Styela clava: one gene and its partners. The protein of the gene in region 1 interacts with the protein of each later gene in a pairwise test. Links are inferred from orthologs where the notes say so. Each region holds a gene or a part of one and is shown in the gene's direction. Other genes may lie near its edges.

Evidence for each region.
Region 2: the proteins of ras-related protein Rab-2A (region 1) and TBC1 domain family member 16-like interact in a two-hybrid assay, tested with the Drosophila melanogaster proteins (2 studies listed by BioGRID). The link is inferred for Styela clava from reciprocal best matches to the Drosophila melanogaster genes Rab2 and TBC1D16.
Region 3: the proteins of ras-related protein Rab-2A (region 1) and vam6/Vps39-like protein interact in a two-hybrid assay, tested with the Drosophila melanogaster proteins (2 studies listed by BioGRID). The link is inferred for Styela clava from reciprocal best matches to the Drosophila melanogaster genes Rab2 and Vps39.

The regions. Positions count from the first base shown.
Region 1 is NC_135257.1:22,261,203-22,268,544, forward strand, and holds the start of ras-related protein Rab-2A, read left to right. Parts: upstream 1-4,234; 5' UTR 4,235-4,340; coding exon 4,341-4,740; intron 4,741-5,158; coding exon 5,159-5,400; 3' UTR 5,401-7,342. Other genes in the region: uncharacterized protein LOC120346693, read left to right, coding at 1-164, 1,419-1,528. UniProt on the Drosophila melanogaster protein: May be involved in bidirectional endoplasmic reticulum (ER) to Golgi trafficking. Together with Rab7 involved in promoting fusion of autophagosomes and endosomes with lysosomes, probably through recruitment of the HOPS tethering complex.
Region 2 is NC_135259.1:9,676,496-9,684,452, forward strand, and holds the start of TBC1 domain family member 16-like, read left to right. Parts: upstream 1-4,941; 5' UTR 4,942-5,101; coding exon 5,102-5,252; intron 5,253-5,860; coding exon 5,861-6,051; intron 6,052-6,670; coding exon 6,671-6,824; intron 6,825-7,430; coding exon 7,431-7,675; intron 7,676-7,756; coding exon 7,757-7,957.
Region 3 is NC_135253.1:11,146,247-11,153,466, reverse strand, and holds the start of vam6/Vps39-like protein, read left to right. Parts: upstream 1-4,110; 5' UTR 4,111-4,349; coding exon 4,350-4,422; intron 4,423-5,437; coding exon 5,438-5,574; intron 5,575-5,975; coding exon 5,976-6,200; intron 6,201-6,553; coding exon 6,554-6,664; intron 6,665-6,920; coding exon 6,921-7,053; intron 7,054-7,152; coding exon 7,153-7,220. Other genes in the region: rRNA N(6)-adenosine-methyltransferase ZCCHC4-like, read left to right, coding at 259-453, 522-693, 856-1,004, 1,096-1,217, 1,393-1,468, 1,559-1,610, 1,697-1,941. UniProt on the Drosophila melanogaster protein: Part of the homotypic fusion and vacuole protein sorting (HOPS) tethering complex involved in endo-lysosomal vesicle trafficking and lysosome biogenesis.

The DNA.
Region 1 (7,342 bases):
AACAAAATCGACGACTGCTAGCAATATAGCGACTCCAAGTGGAAACTGGTGGGAATGGTGGCGAAGCACTCGTACTCCAAGATATATCGCTCGTACTACAGAAGGAAGAATTTACCCAACGTCTTCACCGAAGATAAAGCATATATCCCCTCATGGAAGAAAAGGTAGGAAGGATTGGCGATTTAATTTTTTTTTTTCTTTGAGGGGGGAGGGCTTTTCACTCTCTCCACTTGGAACAAGGCACTGTACAAACAACGCTGATATGTTTAAGAGTTACCATATTTTAGTAAAACCGGGATTCTTCCGGATTGGCATTTTGTAAAATATCATCACACTGAGGTTTTCCGGAAAGACGTCAATTGGGGAAGTAAGACGTGGATAAGTAACCTCACAAACTGTCGTAATACGCCAGTTTGACTTTGTCTGAATGCCGTTGCAATGTAATAAAAATTGATGGATTTGTCTGACATTCATGGTTATACATTGTTAAAAGCGTTAAACGTAATTTTTAGGCCTTTGCAAAGTGGATACTACAAATAGTCTTCAAACTCATTATTAGGTTGGAAATACCATGTGTTAGACGTCGTAATATCAGTGTGGGCTTTGTAGAAAACTGACATCTACGAATAGATTCAAACCCAGAGTTATATTGGACGTAAATACTAAAATAAACGTCAATGGGTGAACTAAACACTAAACAGCTTTCCGGAAAACCAGGCGAATCGCTAAGCAGTATTTTACACGAAGTTTTTTTTGCCTTTCACTTCGAGTTACAAGTACCACTGACACTAGGACTTACTATTTAAAAAAGAACCGGAATCAAGTCCATGCTTCCGAAAACAAATACCTGGCTAACTAATCCCATACACGACATGGACTGGTAACCGGACGAGAGGCCGTGGTTTGCCATGGGATTAAGCCATCTGTCTCATCGTTCTTGTTCTCTCCGGGGTAGTACGTTAATCTTATCCTAGTATTGGTTTCAATTCTAATCTTTTTGGTTTGGGATCGCTCACCAACTTTATTATACTCCGGGTGACATGGTGGACATGGGATTTGAATCTGAGATTTTGAATCTGCGACTTCTACACCAGTGGTTTCTAACATTCTAGGGCGCGTGGCTTATAGATCCCCCTATTCATCATTCCAGTGTTATTACTTATAGATTTTAATCGGTAAGTAGGTTGATAGGTATTTGTCTGTTTGTCTGTTAGATGCACGCGATATCTCACGAATAAGAGATTGAATCTGCTCCGGATTTTGCATGTGCATTTATCTTATCAGCCTATTGATTTGGCGCGAATAATGTCGTATAATTAGGGAGTTATTAATTAATTAGTGATGGGACACAAGATGTCACTCAAACAGCGTTTCACACTCCTAAATCCAGCGTTTAATCACAAGACTTTTGTATTTAGTCACAGTGTCGTCGACAACTGCAACAACTGGTCAAGCAACTCGTTTATCAACGACCAGCTTTATTCTGATAATTCCTATTTTACAATTTTTTTGCCTTTTTTATTTATAAACTTATGCTAGAGTTCGTTTTAATTGCTAATAAGCTAGAAGTGCAAAAATGCGAGAAATTTAAGAAACTGATCCGCTGACCATTAGCTACTGATATTATATTTCAATATATATATGTAATAACTCAACACTGAGCCCATACTATTCATTTGAAGAGAATCCAATAAGATTTTATGCATATCATTATTATATTACTGGCAATACGTTTCCATGTTTTAGTTACCAAATATATATTTATTTTTTTAATCTTGTACTTTTATGAATGGGCGTCTACTACAATATTTGAGAAATAGGTCGCAGGATAAACCACTGTTTTTAGAGACTTAGAGAGCAGAGATTTGGACGAGCCAAATCGGGCAAAGTCAGATCACAATAATCACGTGGGGCGACCAAACGGCTTAGTTACAACAACTTCGAGTCGTTGACTCTGAGGTGGGCTCAGGAAGTGTGGCGCATCGAGCTAAGGGTAAGGAATACGCTCGCCACCGCACCTATGATTACCCTGCGTGGGTTTGCAGGTTCGAATCCCATGTAGGGATGAGAGAAAGAACTCCTGGATGTGAAAAAGAATTCCTCGACTCCTCGCCGCCGTAGGGTGCTTCCCGTAATCGCTGGCCGGTCACGGGTTCTCCCATCTGAAAACAAATGACTGGCGAACTAATCCCATGCCTGACATGAACTGGCAATTGGACGAGAGGCAGGCTTTGGTTCGCCATATGATTGGGTCGTCTTGGCGGCTTTCCTACCCCCATGGATTAATATGTAAATTATATCCCGTATTTGACTCCATTCCGTGTCGAAGCGCATTTATCTTTTGCAAAAATCGTAGAAGAGCCGGCCTTGTGCCACTGCAACCAATGCGGCCGCAGTGGCACGGCTCGTGAAGTTAAGTTACCTAAAAAAAGTAAAGACAAATTTATTTTGTATCACAAAATCAGAATTTTCAGTTATTATCCATATCACAAACTAAACTTGGGAAGAGCATTTTAATTTGCATAGTTAAACCGTGGTCATATCAGATTCAGATATTTTTTCACGACAATACACATGTAATACGGCGCGGCGGTGTGGCTCAACGGGCTAAGCGTTAGGAATACGCTCGCCACCGCACCTCTAACTACTCTGCGTGGGTTCGCAGGTTCGAATCCCATGCAGGGATGGTTATGTGCGAGAGGATTGCTGGATTCCTCGCCGTCGTTGGGTGGTTCACGTAACCGCTGGTCGGTTACGGCTTCCTCCACCACCAAGTCCATGCTTCCGAAAAGAAAAAGAAAAATACAGTAAAACTAATCCCATACCCGACTTGGAATGGTAACCGGACGAGAGGCCGTGGTTCGCCATATGGATAAGCCGTCTTGTCGGCTTTTCTCTCCCCCGGGATAAATATGTAAATGTTCCTATCCTAATAAAAAAAAAACGAAAAACATTTCGACTCCTAGCAGTTGATGAGGGGTCGCGAAAGAATCTCTCGAATCTTCTGTTGGCGCTGTGGTTTGAAGTAACAATTGAAATTTCTAGTGTAAGCGAGACCAGCTTGTTTTTCCTAATCACACATGCTTCAAAGCAATACTATTTGGCAACGGTATTTTAACGTCGTCAATACGATTGTCACGTCACGTAATTCTTGGTGCATGACGCACGCAACGTCGTAGTTATTAGTGGTTGGAGTCATCTATTGCATGGATGTAGAAAGCTATAGACTGGTACCGCTAACCGGGTTAGAGGCCACAGGTTATTTGAACTTTAATATCGGCTTACCTTTTGGAAATAAGAAAATTCTATCTCATATTATATGTCGTTTTAAATGTCTTGAATAAATGAGTAACCCAGCACAGCATTGTCAGTTTTCGATCACGCTCCTTACACCACCACAACGTATGTTGCTTTGTGAACTGCGAAGGTCTGGTTGATGGATTGCCTTGCTTATACCAATCGATTTTCGCTCAAATAAACAATTTTAATCCCATTTTAATGAGAGATAAAAAGCTGTTAGCGTTGTTCAAATATTCTGTTAATATAGGACGGCTTATGTATTGTAATTATCTCATCAATAGGACCCCGTTGCGCGCATGTCTGCGAGCATTAATGACCGGAAACAGGCAAGCTGTTGTGTAACCAGTCTGCCCATGGGAAACACACTTTTTAAAAATGATTTGTGAGTCACGCAGTGTTAATTTAATGTGGTGGCATCAGGTTTTGTATTCAAAGAGTCGTTAATTGCATAAGATATAGTCTAGCCTGTTAAGGAAAATGCGGGAGAAACGCTAGTTTCCGAATTTGTAAATTGGCTCGTGCGGTCACAGGCCAACTGTATCAGAAGTCTGGCAGTTGCTACACTCTGCTGCTCTGCTTTAAGGCGAGTCAACACACACTGTTTCTTCTGGTAACAACTTTTAATTTAAATTGCTGAATTGTCAGATTGTGTATCTCTTAAAGTCCTAATAATACTATGCCAGTAGGTATGTAATCAGTTTTGATATTCATTTTACAGTTTCACCAGATGTTTTGCAACTTATGCAGTTTTGGAGTGTAAATAATCTTATGTGTGGTAGGCTATACATACACTAAATGTTTCCAGACACATGTTTATTCAGTGAGATTTTGAGTTTCTAACACAGTAGACTGGTAGAAGTCAAGTTTAATCTATCCGCAGAAATAGTATCGCACTCATAGGTAAAATCTGAAACTTGATCTCTTTTTGTTATGATAAAAAGCTTATTATAAAAATTTTTCCAGACTTCAAATTTAGTTTAAATAATCTTGGTGATTTACGTATCCTCATTAGAATTGTCGTATTTTTTGAATTTTGCAAAATGTCGTACGCATATTTGTTCAAATATATTATCATCGGAGATACCGGCGTCGGAAAGTCGTGTCTTCTGTTACAATTTACCGACAAAAGATTTCAACCTGTCCACGATTTAACGATCGGTGTCGAATTCGGCGCTCGGATGATCACAATTGACGGAAAACAGATAAAACTACAAATCTGGGATACAGCAGGCCAAGAGTCATTTCGTTCAATCACAAGGTCATATTATCGTGGAGCCGCAGGCGCTCTACTCGTTTATGACATCACAAGACGTGATACTTTCAACCATCTGACGACGTGGCTAGAGGACGCTCGACAACATTCCTCATCTAATATGGTTATCATGTTAATTGGAAATAAAAGCGATCTAGAAGCTCGGCGTGAAGTCAAAAAGGAAGAAGGTATAAGGATCAATATCTGTTTTTTAAATTTTTCTATGCGACGCTTGCTAATTCGAATGTCGTTTTTTCTAGTTTTAAGCCACCAAATCTAATGCCAACCACCTTACACACACTGTCTTTCTGAACCTGGCATGGGCAAACTGCAGCCCATGGGCCAAATCGGGCCCATTGGATAATTCAATCTGGCCCGCCTGATGCTTCCACAGCCAAACTTAGATATATCAGCTAAAAAATAGCTCAAGGAATTTGTTAAGATTGCGATTAAATTATTGGCTTATTGTTTTGCTTTTGTAACTCTGCAAGTTATGTTTATAAAATGTATTTTTTTACACAAACTTACATGGCATATAATGTGCATAATTAGTTACATATACATATTTTTAGTAGGACTTTTATTGAATAATTTTTTTATTTTTAGGAGAAGCGTTTGCACGGGAGCATGGTCTCGTATTCATGGAGACATCTGCAAAGACAGCGGCAAACGTAGAAGATGCATTCATTGATACAGCCAAAGAGATTTACGAAAAAATTCAGGAAGGGGTTTTTGACATCAACAATGAAGCAAACGGGATTAAAATTGGCCCCCAACACTCCCCTTCATCATCAGGCCTTTCAGGGAATCGTCCCCGGCAACAGAGCGACGGTGGGGGATGCTGTTAAGATTTCCTCTCATATTAAAGTGGTTAAAATAAAGACTTACTGACAAAATTAGCGGGATTTCTTTTGCAATAGCATTTTTAATGTATAAAAAGGCTTTAATAATGATGTTTAAGCCAACCCTGCTTACTGTGCTACCACCAGAGTTTCTTATAATTGTCTGTTCTGTGTTGGGTTTTATTCATCCATGTTTGAAATAAAAAAATTATGACATTTATAAAAAGTATGTGTCTGTGGGACCAACTTATGCTTTTGCACTGGTGGATTTGTAATGCAAGGAGGCTGTAACAATCAAAGATCGCTATTCTAAGACATTCAAGAATCTTGCTGCACAATTGACAATTCATACTTTTACTTTAGAAGTCTAAAACTTTGTCCTGGTTTAAAGGCTCCCGATAATCAAAAAAAATTCCACAGTTCTTTCATTTATTTGACTCGACTGATTCCAATATATTCAAATTTTTTATATTTATCAGGAAAGACTGCTTAATTATATAGCGAATTACACCCTTCGCTCCAGTTAATGTCACGAATAAGAATTATTAACCAATTATAAACAATAAATAGGTAAATCTAGCAAGATTTTTTGACTGAGTTGGTGGCATGTTTCATTATTCATCTGAGAAACTCTGTGTGGTTTGCAAAACGGTTTTAAGTACGTGTCCACTGGCCTTTGTATATATTTGTTTCTTGCACTATTAAAGTTTCCTTGTATAAGTCTATATGTCTGTTAAAATGTGGAAAACTTTTCTTACAATTTGCAGTCCTATCTGTTTTCGTGGTAGCACTGATTTCAGTTTGAAATATTGGTATTTCGCTTAATTTAGAGATTTAATTACATTTCTGCATTTAGTTATATTTTCAGATCAATACTTAGTCATGGTAGCGCTGTTTTTCTTATGAGTTTTAAATCCTAAAATAAAGATGCCAGTTCTGCTTAATTTAATTGGTTGAATTTTTTTTGTTCGATCTTGAGAATTTGAAAATGTGACCTGAGAGAAAAACTTTGCTGTATGTAGGATATATAATATTATCCATATAAAAATGTTGACTTTCTGCCGTACTTTCCTTTTTAATGCTATAAATAAAACTGACTACTTTCTTTCTATGTGATGTAATAATGTTGTAAACACTGTCAGCTGTCACTAATATGTGCCGAGCTGGGGTGCAGGACTTATACAGGACCCTGTTCAAAGTAGATTGGTCAAAAATTCAAATTTTTTGAAATTTATTTTGAAAAATTAGAATTTTATTTATGCATTGACATTTTCAATGGCTGCCTAAGCGACTTCTACAGGGCTTACTTTAAAGCCAAATGTTAGAGAAATGAATAAAAACATGAAATTTGGAAAATTCAAAATCAAGTTTGAAATTGAAATTCTACTTTTATATTGACATTTATAATCACAGCCCAACTAGCCTAGTTTCGAGGAAAATTTGAAAATATGAATAACAATGTAGAAATTCAGAAATTTCAAATTTAGTTTGTGAGATAAGTTACTATACTGTTTTTAAGTATAAAGCCTATAGTCTCTCTAGTGGGCCATCCTATGTAAACCATTTCTTCATTTATGCCTATATGTTGTCTACTGTATAAATATCCCTTGGTACGTCTGATTTATGCTAGACTTTATCCATCTTTATCAGTTTTTGTTATACTAATTTTTTTTGATCGTTGGAAATTTTGTTCTTTAATATCCAGGGATGACTGAAATAAGTGCTGTTGTGTTCAGAAAATGTTTCGGCGTTCATTAAGAATAAATCTTGGGTGACGAATTTTTCATATATTGCAGGGGCTCTATAAAATAAATAGCTTAATATGGTGATATTTTCCTGATCCTTACATTTTAAAATTGGCAAAAAATAACTTTGTTTTTTGGATATAACTTAATTTTTTGAATGGTATATATTTCGTGTATTTTAAAACTACCATAAATTCAGTTGA
Region 2 (7,957 bases), on another chromosome or scaffold:
TTTGCCGTCGTTGCCGCATTTTAGATAAATTTACACGTACATACACCCCCAAGCGTATATTAACCATTGCTTTCGCTTTCTAGAACAATTTCCCCTAAACATACCCCAAAATGAATATTTCCCGTACCTTAAAGCGATTTCCCGTCATTCCCGCTTTTTGTGAAATTTCGCGCTTTTTAGTGAAATTTCCCGTAGTTCCCGTCATTCCCTTAGTTCCCGCATTTTAGTTTTTGCAATTTCCCGTCGTTCCCGCAGTTTCCGCATTTTAGTGCATTTCCCGTAGTTCCCGCCGTTCCCGTTTCCCGCATTTTAGGGTTGCCCCAGAAGGGGCAGGCCTTGTCAGCTTGTTAATATGAATAACATAATAAGTATAAGTTTGTTTCGACTCCATAATCAGCATAACAATACATTTGACAGATAAAAACAAATAAATAAAAACTGATTATGAAATCAGGGGAGCAAACAAAACCTTATTTAAGGTTTATAACGTACAAAATATAAGATGGAAGGTTTTGCCAGGAGGAAGTGGTACGTGTTTACTCACCTAAAATTATTGAGTTATTTCACACACGCTCACATGCACCCCCCAGCCACACACACACACACACACACACAACCACTGAGAAGTTATTTAAGTAAGAATAAAACGCGATAAATTTAGGGCATACTATAGAGTAAACAAAAATAAATAAATAAATACTAGAAAAGAAAATAAAACTATTTGCCACACCATATTGATAATTTTGTAATTGTTGCCATTGCCAAATTGATCGATCTTCTAATCGTTAATCAAAATATAAAAGTAAGATTCTGTTGGAAACATATTGCCAAACTGATTATAGTTGGAGTCAATCAAATGCCAAGTTGCCCAACCAAAGTTGCCAGAATTGGGTGCATGAAGAGGTGGGCGAGACCATTTCATTCCCAAAATTAGAGCCTATTATTGCCAAATTATAGTCCAGATTGTAATAAGTAATTAAAGTTAGATTGTTATTTCACAGGATATCGGAGTCTTTGTTTGATCTTTTCCTTATGTGTTTTACTTCATTTAATCACTTTGAAGTAACCTGAAAAACAAAAAATAAAACTGTGAGTAGATGTTTCAATACCAAAGTTACCCCAGCCCACACTCGCTCAGCCCACACTCAGCCTGACATCAAGGGGTTAACCAACTATTTTACCATTTTATAAACGTTAATACATAAAAACTTGGTGGCTATGACAATATAGAGACCATATTGGATATACACAGCGCAAATGCAATACCAAGCACGGACCAGTTACCCCTAGTATGGCCTGTCAAAAACGAGTGTGGGCTAGCGTCTCACGAGTGTGGGCTAGCGTCACACGAGTGTGGGCTGGCATCCTACGAGTGTGGGCTAGCGTCACACGAGTGTGGGCTGGCATCCTACGAGTGTGGGCTAGCGTCACACGAGTGTGGGCTGGCGTTCTGACAGTGTTATACGGTAAGTTAAGGCATCCTAAACGCTCACAGATTACTAAATTACATATATCCACGTTTACCTCAGCACCAGAACCTCTCAGAGTCCGGCAATTGATAGCACAAAATGGCCACAAATGCCGGGAAAATGATTCAAAATCAACTGAACAATAATATCTCTAACCAGTGTTACCAGATATGACGGTAAACAAGCCTGAAATTGACCGTCGAAACTCAAAAATAAGAAAATTGAAATTTAAGCTAAGTGTCTGTTCTTTTTATGAAAAAAAAATGTAGTTATGAATAAACCATAATTGATTTGCACAAATACATCTTGTATAATAAAAAATAAACATGATGAAAACATTTCACCAGCAGATACACATTGTCTCGAAGGCTTTTGATGTCGAAATTCAACAGTTCATCGAAAAGAAATCAACGAAATGTTTACCACGGAATTAAATTATCATAATATACAGTATATGATCTTACAAATTTCAAAAAATTTTACCGTAGAGAAAGACTTCAAATTTAAAATCAAAATTAGCACACTCGACCGTTATCAATATTTCGCGGTAATGGTGTTCAACGTCAAATTTCAATTGTAAATTGAAAATGATCCTATGGTTTGTTCCTTAAAAAATTGAATAGTCTCATTACATAGTATTTCATCTAAAATATATTAAAAAATAAAAAAATTTTACCGTCGGGAAAGACTTTAAAATTAAAGTCAAAATTAGCACACGCGACCGTTATCAATATTTCACGGTAATGGTGTTCTACGTCAAATTTCAATTGTAAATTGGAAATGATCCTATGGTTTGTTCCTCAAAAAATTGAATAGTCATATTACATTGTAATTCATCTCAAAAATATCAGAAAATAAAAAAATTCTACCGTCAGGAAAGAATTTAAAATTAAAGTCAAAATTAGCACACTCAACCGTTATCAACATTCGCGGTAAAGGTGTTCCACGTCAAATTTTAATTGTAAATTGAAAATGATCCTATGGTTTGTTCCTCAAAAAATTTGATAGTCATATTACATAGTATTTCATTTAAAATATATTGAAAAATAAAAAAATTTCACCGTCGGGAAAGACTTTAAAATTAAAGTCAAAATTATCACACTCGACCGTTATCAATATTTCACGGTAATGGTGTTCTACGTTAAATTTTAATTGTGAATTAAAAATGATCCTATGGTTTGTTCCTCAAAAAATTTAATAGTCATATTACATAGTATTTCATCTAAAAAATATTGAAAAAGAAAAAAAATTCTACCGTCGGGAAAGCCTTTCAAATTAAAGTCAAAATTAGCACGCTCAACCATTATCAATATTTCGCGGTAATAGTGTTCCACGTTAAATTTTAATTGTAAATTGATCCTATGGTTTGTTCCTCAAAAAAATTGAGAGTCATATTACATAGTATTCCATCTAAAATATATTGAAAAATAAAAAAGTTTTACCGTCGGGAAAGACTTCAAAATTAAAGTCAAAATTAGCACACTCGACCGTTATCAATATTTCACGGTAATGGTGTTCTACGTCAAATTTTAATTGTGAATTGAAAATGATCCTATGGTTTGTTCCTCAAAAAATTGAATAGTCATATTACATAGTATTTCATCTAAAAAATGTTGAAAAATAAAAAAATTTTACCGTCGGGAAAACCTTTAAAATTAAAGTCAAAATTAGCACACTCAACCATTATCAATATTTCGCGGTAATAGTGTTCCACGTCAAATTTTGATTGTAAATTGATCCTATGGTTTGTTCCTCAAAAAATTTGAGAGTCATATTACATAGTATTTCATCTAAAATATATCAAAAAATAAAAAAATTTTACAGTCGGGAAAGACTTTAAAATTAAAGTCAAAATTAGCACACTCGACCGTTATCAATATTTCACGGTAATGGTGTTCTACGTCAAATTTCAATTATAAATTGGAAATGATCCTATGGTTTGTTCCTCAAAAAATTGAATAGTCATATTACATTGTAATTCATCTCAAAAATATCAGAAAATAAAAAAATTCTACCGTCGGGAAAGATTTTAAAATTAAAGTCAAAATTAGCACACTCAACCGTTATCAACATTCGCGGTAAATGAAATCTTTCCTGACGGTAGAATTTTTTTATTTTCTGATATTTTTGAGATGAATGACTATGTAATATGACTATTAAATTTTTTGAGGAACAAACCATAGGATCATTTTCAATTTACAATTAAAATTTGACGTGGAACACTATTACCGCGAAATATTGATAATGGTTGAGTGTGCTAATTTTGACTTTTTTTTAAAAGGCTTTCCCGGCGATAGAATTTTTTTATTTTTCAATATTTTTTAGATGAAATAATATGTAATATGACTATTCAATTTTTTGAGGAACAAACCATAGGATCATTTTCAATTTACAATTAAAAATTTGACGTGGAACACCATTACCGCGATATATTGAAAACGGTCGAGTGTGCTAATTTTGACTTTAATTTTAAAGTCTTTCTCTACGGTAAAATTTTTTGAAATTTGTGAGATCATATACTGTATACTATGATACTTTAATTCCGTGGTAAACATTTCGTTGATTTCTTTTCAATGAACTTATTAAATTTCGACATCAAAAGCCTTCGAGACAATGTGTATCTGCTGGTGAAATGTTTTCATCATGTTTATTTTTTATTGTACAAGATGTATTTGTGCAAATCGATTATGGTTTATTCATAACTACATTTTTCTTCATAAAAAGAACAGACACTTAGCTTAGATATCAATTTTCTTATTTTTGAGTTTCGACGGTCAATTCCAGGCTTGTTTACCGTCATATCTGGTAACACTGGTTAGAGATATTATTGTTCAGTTGATTTTGAATCATTTTCCCGGCATTTGTGGCCATTTTGTGCTATCAATTGCCGGACTCTGAGAGGTTCTGGTGCTGAGGTAAACGTGGATATATGTAATTTAGTAATCTGTGAGCGTTTAGGATGCCTTAACTTACCGTATAACACTGTCAGAACGCCAGCCCACACTCGTGTGACGCTAGCCCACACTCGTAGGATGCCAGCCCACACTCATGTGACGCTAGCCCACACTCGTGAAACGCTAGCCCACACTCGTTTTTGACAGGCCATACTAGGGGTAACTGGTCCGTGCTTGGTATTGCATTTGCGCTGTGTATATCCAATATGGTCTCTATATTGTCATAGCCACCAAGTTTTTATGTATTAACGTTTATAAAGTGGTAAAATAGTTGGTTAACCCCTTGACGTCAGGCTGAGCGAGTGTGGGCTGGGGTAACTTTGGTGTTTCAATGATTGGGTGAAGGGGAACGCGCTGAACTATTTATTACATGCAAGGGATGTATTGCCATTATACTGTTATATAGCGATGGATAGATGATCTATGATGACATTCAGTACCGGTATGTCGAATTGCACTGTCTGTTGCTGCAGTTCTCTGTATTCTATGAGTTTAATTTTTCAATTGTCAAGCCATATTTAGGTTATTTTTCTATTTAGACTTTAACTCTATCCAGCTATTAGTAACTTATCTGATGGTCCTGTAATGAAAGCATGGTGATCTAACTTTTGGAAATTATATTTTACTGTGACAATTTTTGTATGTATTGTGGCTGTGTGGCGCAGTGATAAACATATCATGTCATTAACAAAGTTCATCAAAACGATATTCCAACCATCACCTACACATCATCATCCACCACCTCTTGATGGAGAAATTGTTTACAGCAAAAACAATGTATGTGTTCATCCTCAAGGTCTACTAGCAAGCTCTGTAGAACATTATCCAGGTATGCACTGTTATTTAGGGCCATGTTCACCACACGAGTACCGCACTTCTAGTTGGCGTGGCACAACTACTTTTCAGCTCTTGCATATGTTATTCCTACCCCCACCTGACTACATCATTCAAAAATTAAGTCACTTCGACGTCACAGTAACATACAGAGTAACTGTCATTCAGGACGCACAGACAATCACCCGAAATGGAGTAATCTATTTCTCTCATACTCTCGTAACGATCCCGATATGAGGGAGATCGCTGGGGTTACTGAGTTCATTATCGTTGGCTAAGATATAATTTCGGGCGATTGTACCTATACTTTGGCAAGCCTTATGATGTGGTTGACGTAATTTTTGGGTGGCATAGTCAGGTGGGGGAGAGGATTCACATGTGCAAAAATCGTTATACTACGCCCACTAGAAGTACTTAAGGTACAAAACTACATAAGACCCCAAACTTTCATATTTGGCAATTACCAATTTAATTTGAAACTAAAAATTAAACCAAACCCAGCTTATTCGCTCTAAACAAGGCTGTGTACAAGCAGCTACTGGTAATTCAGTAATTGTAGGCCATTTTACTCACAATTTTAACTTATTACTTTCCATTTTTAAGGTTATCTAACAGTGTTTGCGAAAGTTTCTGGCGACGCGATTTCTCTTGTGCTAAATTGGATACCAAATAAACGATTGAAACATGGTGGAAACCCAGTTCAAGATGCAGCAGTTATCCCGATTCATTGTGAAAGTTTAACATGCATCAATGATATAAATCCTGAGTTACTAATTACTGCGGATTCTGGAAACGTATGATGACTGATATTATTTTTATTGTGTTATTTTATAAGGCGGTAGCCGCTGGGATAATTTGTGTGACTGATGTCAATATTTAAAATGCTTGGCATAAAAGATTTCTTGTTGAATACTTTATTGATTGTGGGATAATATTCCACCAAACTCACATTATTATTTTTTCTATAAAAAGGCAAATTGTTTAAGTAGATTTTCTTTTTTTATTTTGATGAGTATTCATTAATCATCATTTTGAAAAATACTTTCTAGTAGTAAACCTTTGTTATGCCGTTTTTTTATATTTTTAAGAACATTAAGTAATTTAGCTTAATAGGTATTTAACACTTTTATTCCGGTAAGCTGGGGGGTTACACGAGCCTAACTACATGTCCTTCCTTTTTTATGCCCAAACACAGGACGGTAGACTCATATGTGTAGAATGCTATAGATAGAATAAAGATAAATATTTTATATGATTTGAGCATCATGATGCACACTAACTGAAATACACTTGAGCGGACTTTTGAATTATATAAATAACTTTTAGTTTCATCATATTTCCAAAAATTATCCTTTTGAAAAATTTCATATTACTATTTTGTTTCTAATTTTAAATTGCTCTATTTTGTTCCAGAATATAAATCACATTGGAAATCATGTAAATGAAGATGGCCATAATATTGCTAGTATTGAAACTAACTTCAGTTTGTCTAATCCACAACCACATGGAAATGTAAGGAAATACAGTAATGGGAGTGCAGATTTATCTGATGTCAGCATTTGCAGTGGTAATATATATTTGTTTTTTTTATATTGGGCGGTATTAATTGGTATATGTAGTTTGTATGCATCACTTGCAAGTATATAATTTTACATATCAACAGGTAGGCTGAAAATATTTTTTTTGCTAGTTTTTCTCATTTTGTTATGGTTAACGTCAGTTTTTTGTTACAGTGAAACCCTATTGGCTTATCTAATTTCTATTGAGAATGTAAGACATTGGACTATTTCGTTCTTTGCTGTGACATTAGCCCAATATTCCCTAAACTGTACATCAAGACACAGTAGCGCATGACAAGATATCAAACCAAGTTCTAATTTTATAATAAGATTACAGTTAATTCTGTTAAAATCGATGTCTAGAGAGAAGTTTTTGAAGTTTCACCCCTTTTATGATAGCTTCATGTGCACAAAAACAAGCTCACATATTGCATTGAAATATGCATATATTACGAAATATTTCCTTGCAATTACAGTAAATGTCAAAATCAAATTTTGTATCTAATGTGTCACATGTTTTATTGCAAAAAAAACAAAAGTGAATATACTATGAGTTTGATAGTTTGGGAACCTTAAAATATTCCAGACCAAATATTTATTTTTGCTTTCGAAAGGTTCAACAGAAGGTCCAGACTCGAATCTTTCTGATGATGAAATTGATGATATAGATCCGGATGACATTGTTTTACTCACAAGGCCTCCACTTATAAATCTTTCGAGTACAGAACTCCATGAGATACAAAACAAGAAAGTCTCCAAATTTATGTATGAAAACATCCAAATTTTTAATGATGACAAAAAAGAGGACATTGAAAAACAGATCAATGCTAAAGATGAATTGCCTTTGCCTAAAGATGAGGTAAGAATTTTCTATTTGTGTTGAATAGAAGATAATAAACACATAATGACACAATCTTCTAATGAATGAACTTTATTTTAGGATCATCCGATTTCCCCACCTGTTATATATAACATGCAATTTCCTGAAAATTCAATCAGTTATGTTACAAATTCTTCCTCAAGTTCTTGTCCATCAAGCCCACTGCCTTACAGCAAAGGTCGAGTAAGACGACCTGCCAGAGATCAAGCTTGCGGCGTTTTTACTGTTGATCTGGGACAAATGAGATCACTACGTCTGTTT
Region 3 (7,220 bases), on another chromosome or scaffold:
TTGTAAATGAGGTTTAAATCAAATAATACTTAATAATGAAATTTGTTTTCCATATTTTTGAAACAATGGAGACTTCCTTAAAACGCTATGAATACATCTTTGACAGGACTTTGTCCAAAAACATGGTTATAGTAACTCTGACACAAAACATTTTCCATTTCCTGGTTTTTATCATATAAAATTACAATACAACAACATTTTATTGCTTCACTGACTGGTAAGTTGAGTGCTTACAGTAAATCCAAATTTTTTTAACAGCAATATTTCCTGAATGACCGAAGCTTGAACTTCATTTTAGATATTTTGTTACAACTGAAATTCACACATATCGTATGTATTGGAATGCCTTCACTTCATGAGGAAATTCAATACAGAAAGTATTTTTATCATAAAAACTCTGAAGATGTAACAACAATAATTGACAGTATTTTGTTAGACATTGACAAAAGATATGTAAGTTTTTATTGCATTTCATAACTACATTTTTCAAACATCTTTTAAATATAAGTTAACATTTTCAGGAACAATTCTCCGACCAGGATAAGTTTTGTCACTTTAATATGTTCAATCACTATTTCATTGATGAAAGTTTTGATAAACTGCGTAATTTTGTAGAGAAATCAGAATCACATTCAAGGATATGTTTGGTATTGGATCCTCCCTTTGGTGGACTGGTTGATGCCATTGCAAATAGTAGGTTGCAAATATTTTTATGTATTTAAGCAGTGTAGATAAATGTTTTCTCACAAATTGTTTGTGGTAGGTTACTAGATTACTTCTTTAGGTTACTTATTGAACTTGCAAAATTCTGAAGACCTTTTGTGGATTTGAATTTATTATTGTGTTGTGTTTCAGCTTTGAAGTGGATAAGTTCATGTAGTTTTCCTGAAAATTCAAAGTCCTCTAAAACTGAAAATTTGCTGCCAATATTGTGGATATTTCCATATTTCATGGAAAAAAGAATAACTGGAGCATTGCCATCACTACATATGCTTGATTACCAGGTATGGTCAGCTATGCTACGCTTTGTTAGTTAGATAAACGGAAACTTCAGTACATACTTAAGTCTATTAAATTACAAAAAAATCTTTGCAGGTGAACTACAATAATCACAATAAGTTTAAGAAGAAAATCACAAGCACTAGAATATCACCTGTAAGAATTTTTACCAACATTAAAACGAATGACATAGTGTTTCCAGTTGATGAAGGATACAGGTTAAAAACATTTTTTGTGATACCAACCTATTATGATGTTCCTTAGTGATCTTATCATGCACTTAGAACAATTGTCTAGTTTTGTAAATTAGCATCTGGATGGAATTATCGCTTTACATTTTACTTTTGTGACCTTATTTGCAGCAAGCTTTACAGAATTGATCATTTATTTTAGGTTCTGTTCTCGATGTGATCGATATGTTGCTGAATCAAATAAACATTGCAAAATATGCAATAACTGCCCATCAAAGGTATTGCCTTTTCTATTCAACTGATCATAATATACTGCATGTCTGCATACTATACTTGATAGTATTAATGATCTTGTTTTATATTTTTAGGATGGGAGAACTTATGTTCACTGCAATGAATGTAATTTCTGTGTAAAACCAGGCAAGTATCATTATCATCATTATACTAGGGAGGGAACTCATTGCATGAATTTCTGCCCTTTCTTATTTGTTAACTTGTATTTTTAGGTCGGAAACACTGCAAAAATTGTGAACGTTGTGAACTGGATGGCCATGAATGCAGGAAAACTGGATATCTGCTAGGTTGTCATCTATGTGGGAAGTTGACTCACAAACGCAGAGACTGTCCTTTAAAGAATAGCCAAAAAAACAATGATATATTACCAGCCAAGACTATAAAAACCAAAGCAAACCATGCCGTTTTTCACAGAAAATCCTCACATTTGAGGAAAAGGAAATATACGTTTTCTTGATGTCAAGACTGTAAACTACTATATTGCGACTGTGGATATTATAAGAATTCGAATATTCTAAATTGTTAATTATGAAATCCTTCACGTTACATTGAAATCTTTGTAGAATAGCATCATTTTTCTATGAGATCTTCCATTTTGAAAAATCGATTTGTCCTTTTATTGGGAATATGGGAAAATAATGAGGTAGGTCTCAATATACTGTAAGTTGAAGGTGTGCGAAAATAATTCTTGACCAAAAAGAAACGGGTGCTAACCCTATCGTTCATGGATATTGCGCTATTAATATAATTATACACACTTCTCGTCATTTTGATCGCAAGCGAGAAAAGAAAACACAATCGTTATTGAGGGTTTTGTCAGTCGAAGAATGAAAATCTTTGTGTGATATATTTTTACACCACATTATTTCGAATCTACCACAATTGGCGATTATTTATTATTAAACTTAAATTATTTTGTTTATTACTTGATCCCTAGACTTGCGGAACGCTTGCCAATAAGCATTAACGATGACTTGAGGTATGATAAGCTTCAAAAGACATAGACAATCGAGGGTCTTGCAATTTTGATTGCCGTGTGTGGATTGCGACGCTGTTGGTTGTTGAGCTTTGTACGGTAATCCGTACATTTTTGTAATACCGATGCGTCTTGCAGTCCAGTGCGCCTTACGTTTGAATACAAGATCAACGACATAATCACACTTTTTCTTCTGCTCATCCCAGGATACCATATAATTTTATTATTTTAATTTACATTGGAAAATCCATGACATGGTAAAATGGCTTCTCTTTGTACCTTATCATTACCTATCCCACTGTACCTTTATACCTTTCTAATCTTCTGGCTGAAATGCAACCATAATAGGTTTTGTGGAAATGCTTTTTATTAATTTTTTTTATTTTTTGAAACTTCATCGTTTTTGGCTGAATCCAGAATTCCAAAAAAAAAACTTACAATAGTGAGTCATTTGATACATATCTTTATCATATTTCACCAAAACCTGTAGGGTCACATTTTCTACAGGGGTGGTGACTTCTCTACGACCCATGGGCCGCGGCCACGGCCCATCTAATTGGGCCACATGGGCCGTGGCCCATCAAGCTATGGGCCGCGGCCCCATCAGGAAAAAATTCAATTATCTTACCGAAATTTTCAATTTTTACAAAATTGTCAATATTCGAACCAAAAAATGAACTCCTGTAGTATGTGTACCAGGTTAGGGTTAGGGCAAAATTTTGTTCAGATTTTTTACATTATAGTTCTATTATGAGTTTGGGGACTGTTTGTCTTAGCCAAGTGAATAGTTTCTTTACACAACTTGATGGGCCGCGGCCCATAGCCTGATGGGCCGAGGCCCAATTTGATGGGCCGTGGCCCCGGCCCATGGGCCGAAGAGGAGTCACCACTTCCACTCCACATTTTGGCCAGAACAGCCATAGACCACTTATAACACTGTCGCCCTTGAGTGGTGCATACCATATATGTACACACCCTTTAAACTTGACCATTCCCGCGTTTTATAGTATGTGGTATCATCACTCAATGGTGTTGTACATTCATCCAAATTCTTAATTTTTTTTTATTACTATAGTCATATGCAGTGTTTCATGTTGTGTAGTGTCTCTATTTATAGAAGTTGTTTTGTCTAACAAACTCCTTTGTACAAACAGTTTTGTACACTCCACCCTTATCCCTGTTAGCGCATCCACCCACCCTCCTTGCACAACTGCCTGTATAAAGGACCATATTGTACATATTTGATTTACCCTATTATAATTTATATATATCAAAAGGGGTGTATGCCGCACATTTGTGTTTCAGGCCAATATGGTCTTGTGCATACATCCCGTCTTCAGTATTTATAATTACTTACTCTTTTATATTGCTTTTACGAGAGGAATAAACATACATACATACATACATACATAGACTAGCCTGAAATTCTTTACCGGTACTTTTAAAAAACAGATTGTTGTATGCGATGAATCATAATGATGTTTTGAAACACATACCCCATTTTACAGGCGCCAACTTGCAAAAGCACTCCTAAAATAGCCCCGAAAATTTTGCAATGGTAAAATATGTGAAGAATTTTTCGGGGGTCAAAGGTCGGGGAAAGGTCCATTATATCATGGTCAGTTAACCATGATTATATTCAACCTGCAAAGAAACACTGCCGCTGACGCCGCCAGCGGCTCGATTATTTGCTGGGTATTAATGAATGCCTGCAGCGGTGGCCGGTGTATAGCTGTATAGAAGTCGAAGATAGCAAAGTGAGTCACTTTGAGAGATAGGTCAGTAGGTAGTGTAATCTAGCACTGTGACAGGCGGACTTTTACTTGCTAACTTTTGTCAATATTTCCGTGGACAAAGACCGCCTCCTAGAGAATTACCGTCGGAACAAAATGCATGATGCATACATTTATTTACCGGTCCTGAAGAGTCTACCATTGGCTATTGAATGTATCGCTTGTTGGGGTGAGTTGAAATATTATTTTTGGTAACATCCCGGGATTTCTGTGTGATGGTGTGTTGATTTTTTTTTTGTATCTAGCGAAGCCCAATATAAATTATCAATCATAATTATAAGGTGTGAATGGTACATGTAACTGATCAACAAATTCAGAAATTATTGCAAAATACTGAAATAACATTTAAGACTGTTTAATGATGAAGGATGGCTTCATCAGGTCTGGTTGGATATGTAGATATCTAATCAGTAAGTTGTTCGAAATGCATTGACTATTTTCAGCATTTGACATCTGGTCACTGGGCCAGCTGAAAACAAGCTTATTTAACTCTTGACACTATCGGCAGTGTTCCCTCTAAGGTGTGCGCGTATGCGCGCGCACACAGCTTTCAGAGGCTGTGCACACGCATAGATTTACTGCGCACAGACGTATTTCGATGTAATGTAACAATGTTCTTTTGTTCTTTTTTCACCCTTTATTTGAATTCAAATAAAACCATCTGTTACAATCAATTTCATTTATTATTTTCCATGTATGTTCATTGTTATCTACTGATAACATATAGCCTTCACTAAAGCATTTCCAATCTACAGAAAAACTTATTGAATAACCAGAATTTTCTTAATAAGCCCACCTATTACCCGGTTAGAACGCCAAAATTTCTTCATTGGTTTTTGCACAAATATTAGTCATTTCCAGAAAAGTGCGCACACACCAAAATTTCGGCGCACACATACTACAAAAATTAGAGGGAACATTGACTATCGGTATAAATAGAAAGATGTCAAAACAATATATATGCCAAATATTCTGCATTTATCAAACTCAATGCTATGAACATACAAAATTTATTCAAATGTCTCTGTTACGTATGGCCGTATTTCATATTTAGAATATATTCAATAATCAAAAATATTATTTCATAGTGTAATCAGGATAGTAAAATTAGATTTGGCTTCCACGAGTGACATAAATTGCATCAGCTCACTGATTTAATGAGTTCTGCTATTTGTCTTATGTAGGAGAAGAGAAGCTATTCAAACAGAACAGATTTTCTATAAATGATGGAGATGTGTCAGAAAATGATAACTCAGCACCAGATCTCCCTAAAGCAACTTTGTTGGTTGGAACAAAGCCAGGACATTTGCTTGTTTATAGTGTGAGAATAATATATTCATCTAGCAAACATATGGGATTTTGACATTATTCTGCTGAAAAATTATTATTTTGTGGTTTCTCTCTCAAATTAAGTGATGTTTGAATTTGTTGTTTTTAGATTAGATGAGAAATGTACAATTTCATTTCTGTTATCTTTAGTAGTGAATATCGTTAACCCGCCTTGCCCAGTTCTGTTTTGAGTGATGATTCTTTTATTTTTTCCTGAATTTAATGCAATAGGGAAATGGCCAGTTCGGTTTGCAAAGTAGAGCTTTGCTTATAAGCTACTTTTGCAATATTGGCTGTTTGATAATTGGGAAAGCCCATTCTCTGATATACACTCCTCAATTAACTATCTAAATCTGATAAGCCTACCTAGTATTTTTAAATTTTTTGTTACAGGTTGAACATAATCCAAATGTACATAACAGAGCTGAAGTAAAGTTGGAACGATCAAATAGAACATTTTCAAAGAAACCAATTCAACAATTATTTGTCTGTGTTGAACTTAAATTAATATTAAGTTTGTCAGATTCCATGGTTTCTGTTCATGATTTGACAACATTCCAGTTGATAACTACCTTACAAAAATCTAAAGGAGCAGCTTGTTTTTCTGCTGATCTTGAGGTATTTTTGATTATTAACTTCTGTGAAGTAAATAAGATAAATAAAGATAACTCATCAAATCATTTTAACATAACAAATTATGATGGTTATTTAATTTGAATATTTCCAAATGATGTTGATATGTGGCTAATGATGGATTTATTCATATTTTTGTAAATTATTACTTTAATTATAAAGCCATAATATCTACAATCAGAATTCAGTTACGGTAATTTAATTGCATCCTTTAACAAGTTTTGACCATTATCCACTGAATACTGATTAGCTGTTAGCTCTGTAACAATGTGCAAACATAGAAACAACATGATCTTGAAATACAAACTTAAAATTTATCAGTCAATTTTTATATACAGTCACGAACATCCTCACAAGGTGAAACTGCTCACACTTTAAGATTATGCATTGCGGTCAAAAGAAAACTACTACTTTATTTTTGGAAAAATCGGAGTTTTCATGAGCTATGTGTGAGTATGGCTTTCACAAATATTTGTTTAATACGCCTAAAAACACGGGAAATTTATATCTCTGAACTAGTGGTAGGCTTCCAATAATTTCATCAAGGTTGTGGTATTTAAATGGTAAGGTATTTTTGTTTGGACCATGTGGTCTTCTTTAGCTTTCTAAATAACAATATTTAAATTCTTTATAGTTATTTGTAGAGAATATATATATATATACACTAGTGATATCTACCGGTAACTATTTATTCCATTTTTACAGCCAGATATCAGCATGCCTGAGATACCAAAATGTATGGCTTGGTGTCGTGATTCAGTTTGTCTTGGTTTCAGAAGAGAATATTTCATGGTTACAGTGAAAGCAAATTCTGTTCCATATGAATTATTTCCTACAGGTGAGATCAATGTATTAAGAGTGGGTGGATTGTTACTCTAACTCGTTGTAATACTGCGAATGCAAATTTTGCAGTACTACTAATGGTGTTGACTTTCAGGGAAGCTCATGGAACCAGTGATGACAAAATTAGATGAAAACAGATTAATTTTAATGAAAGATGATATG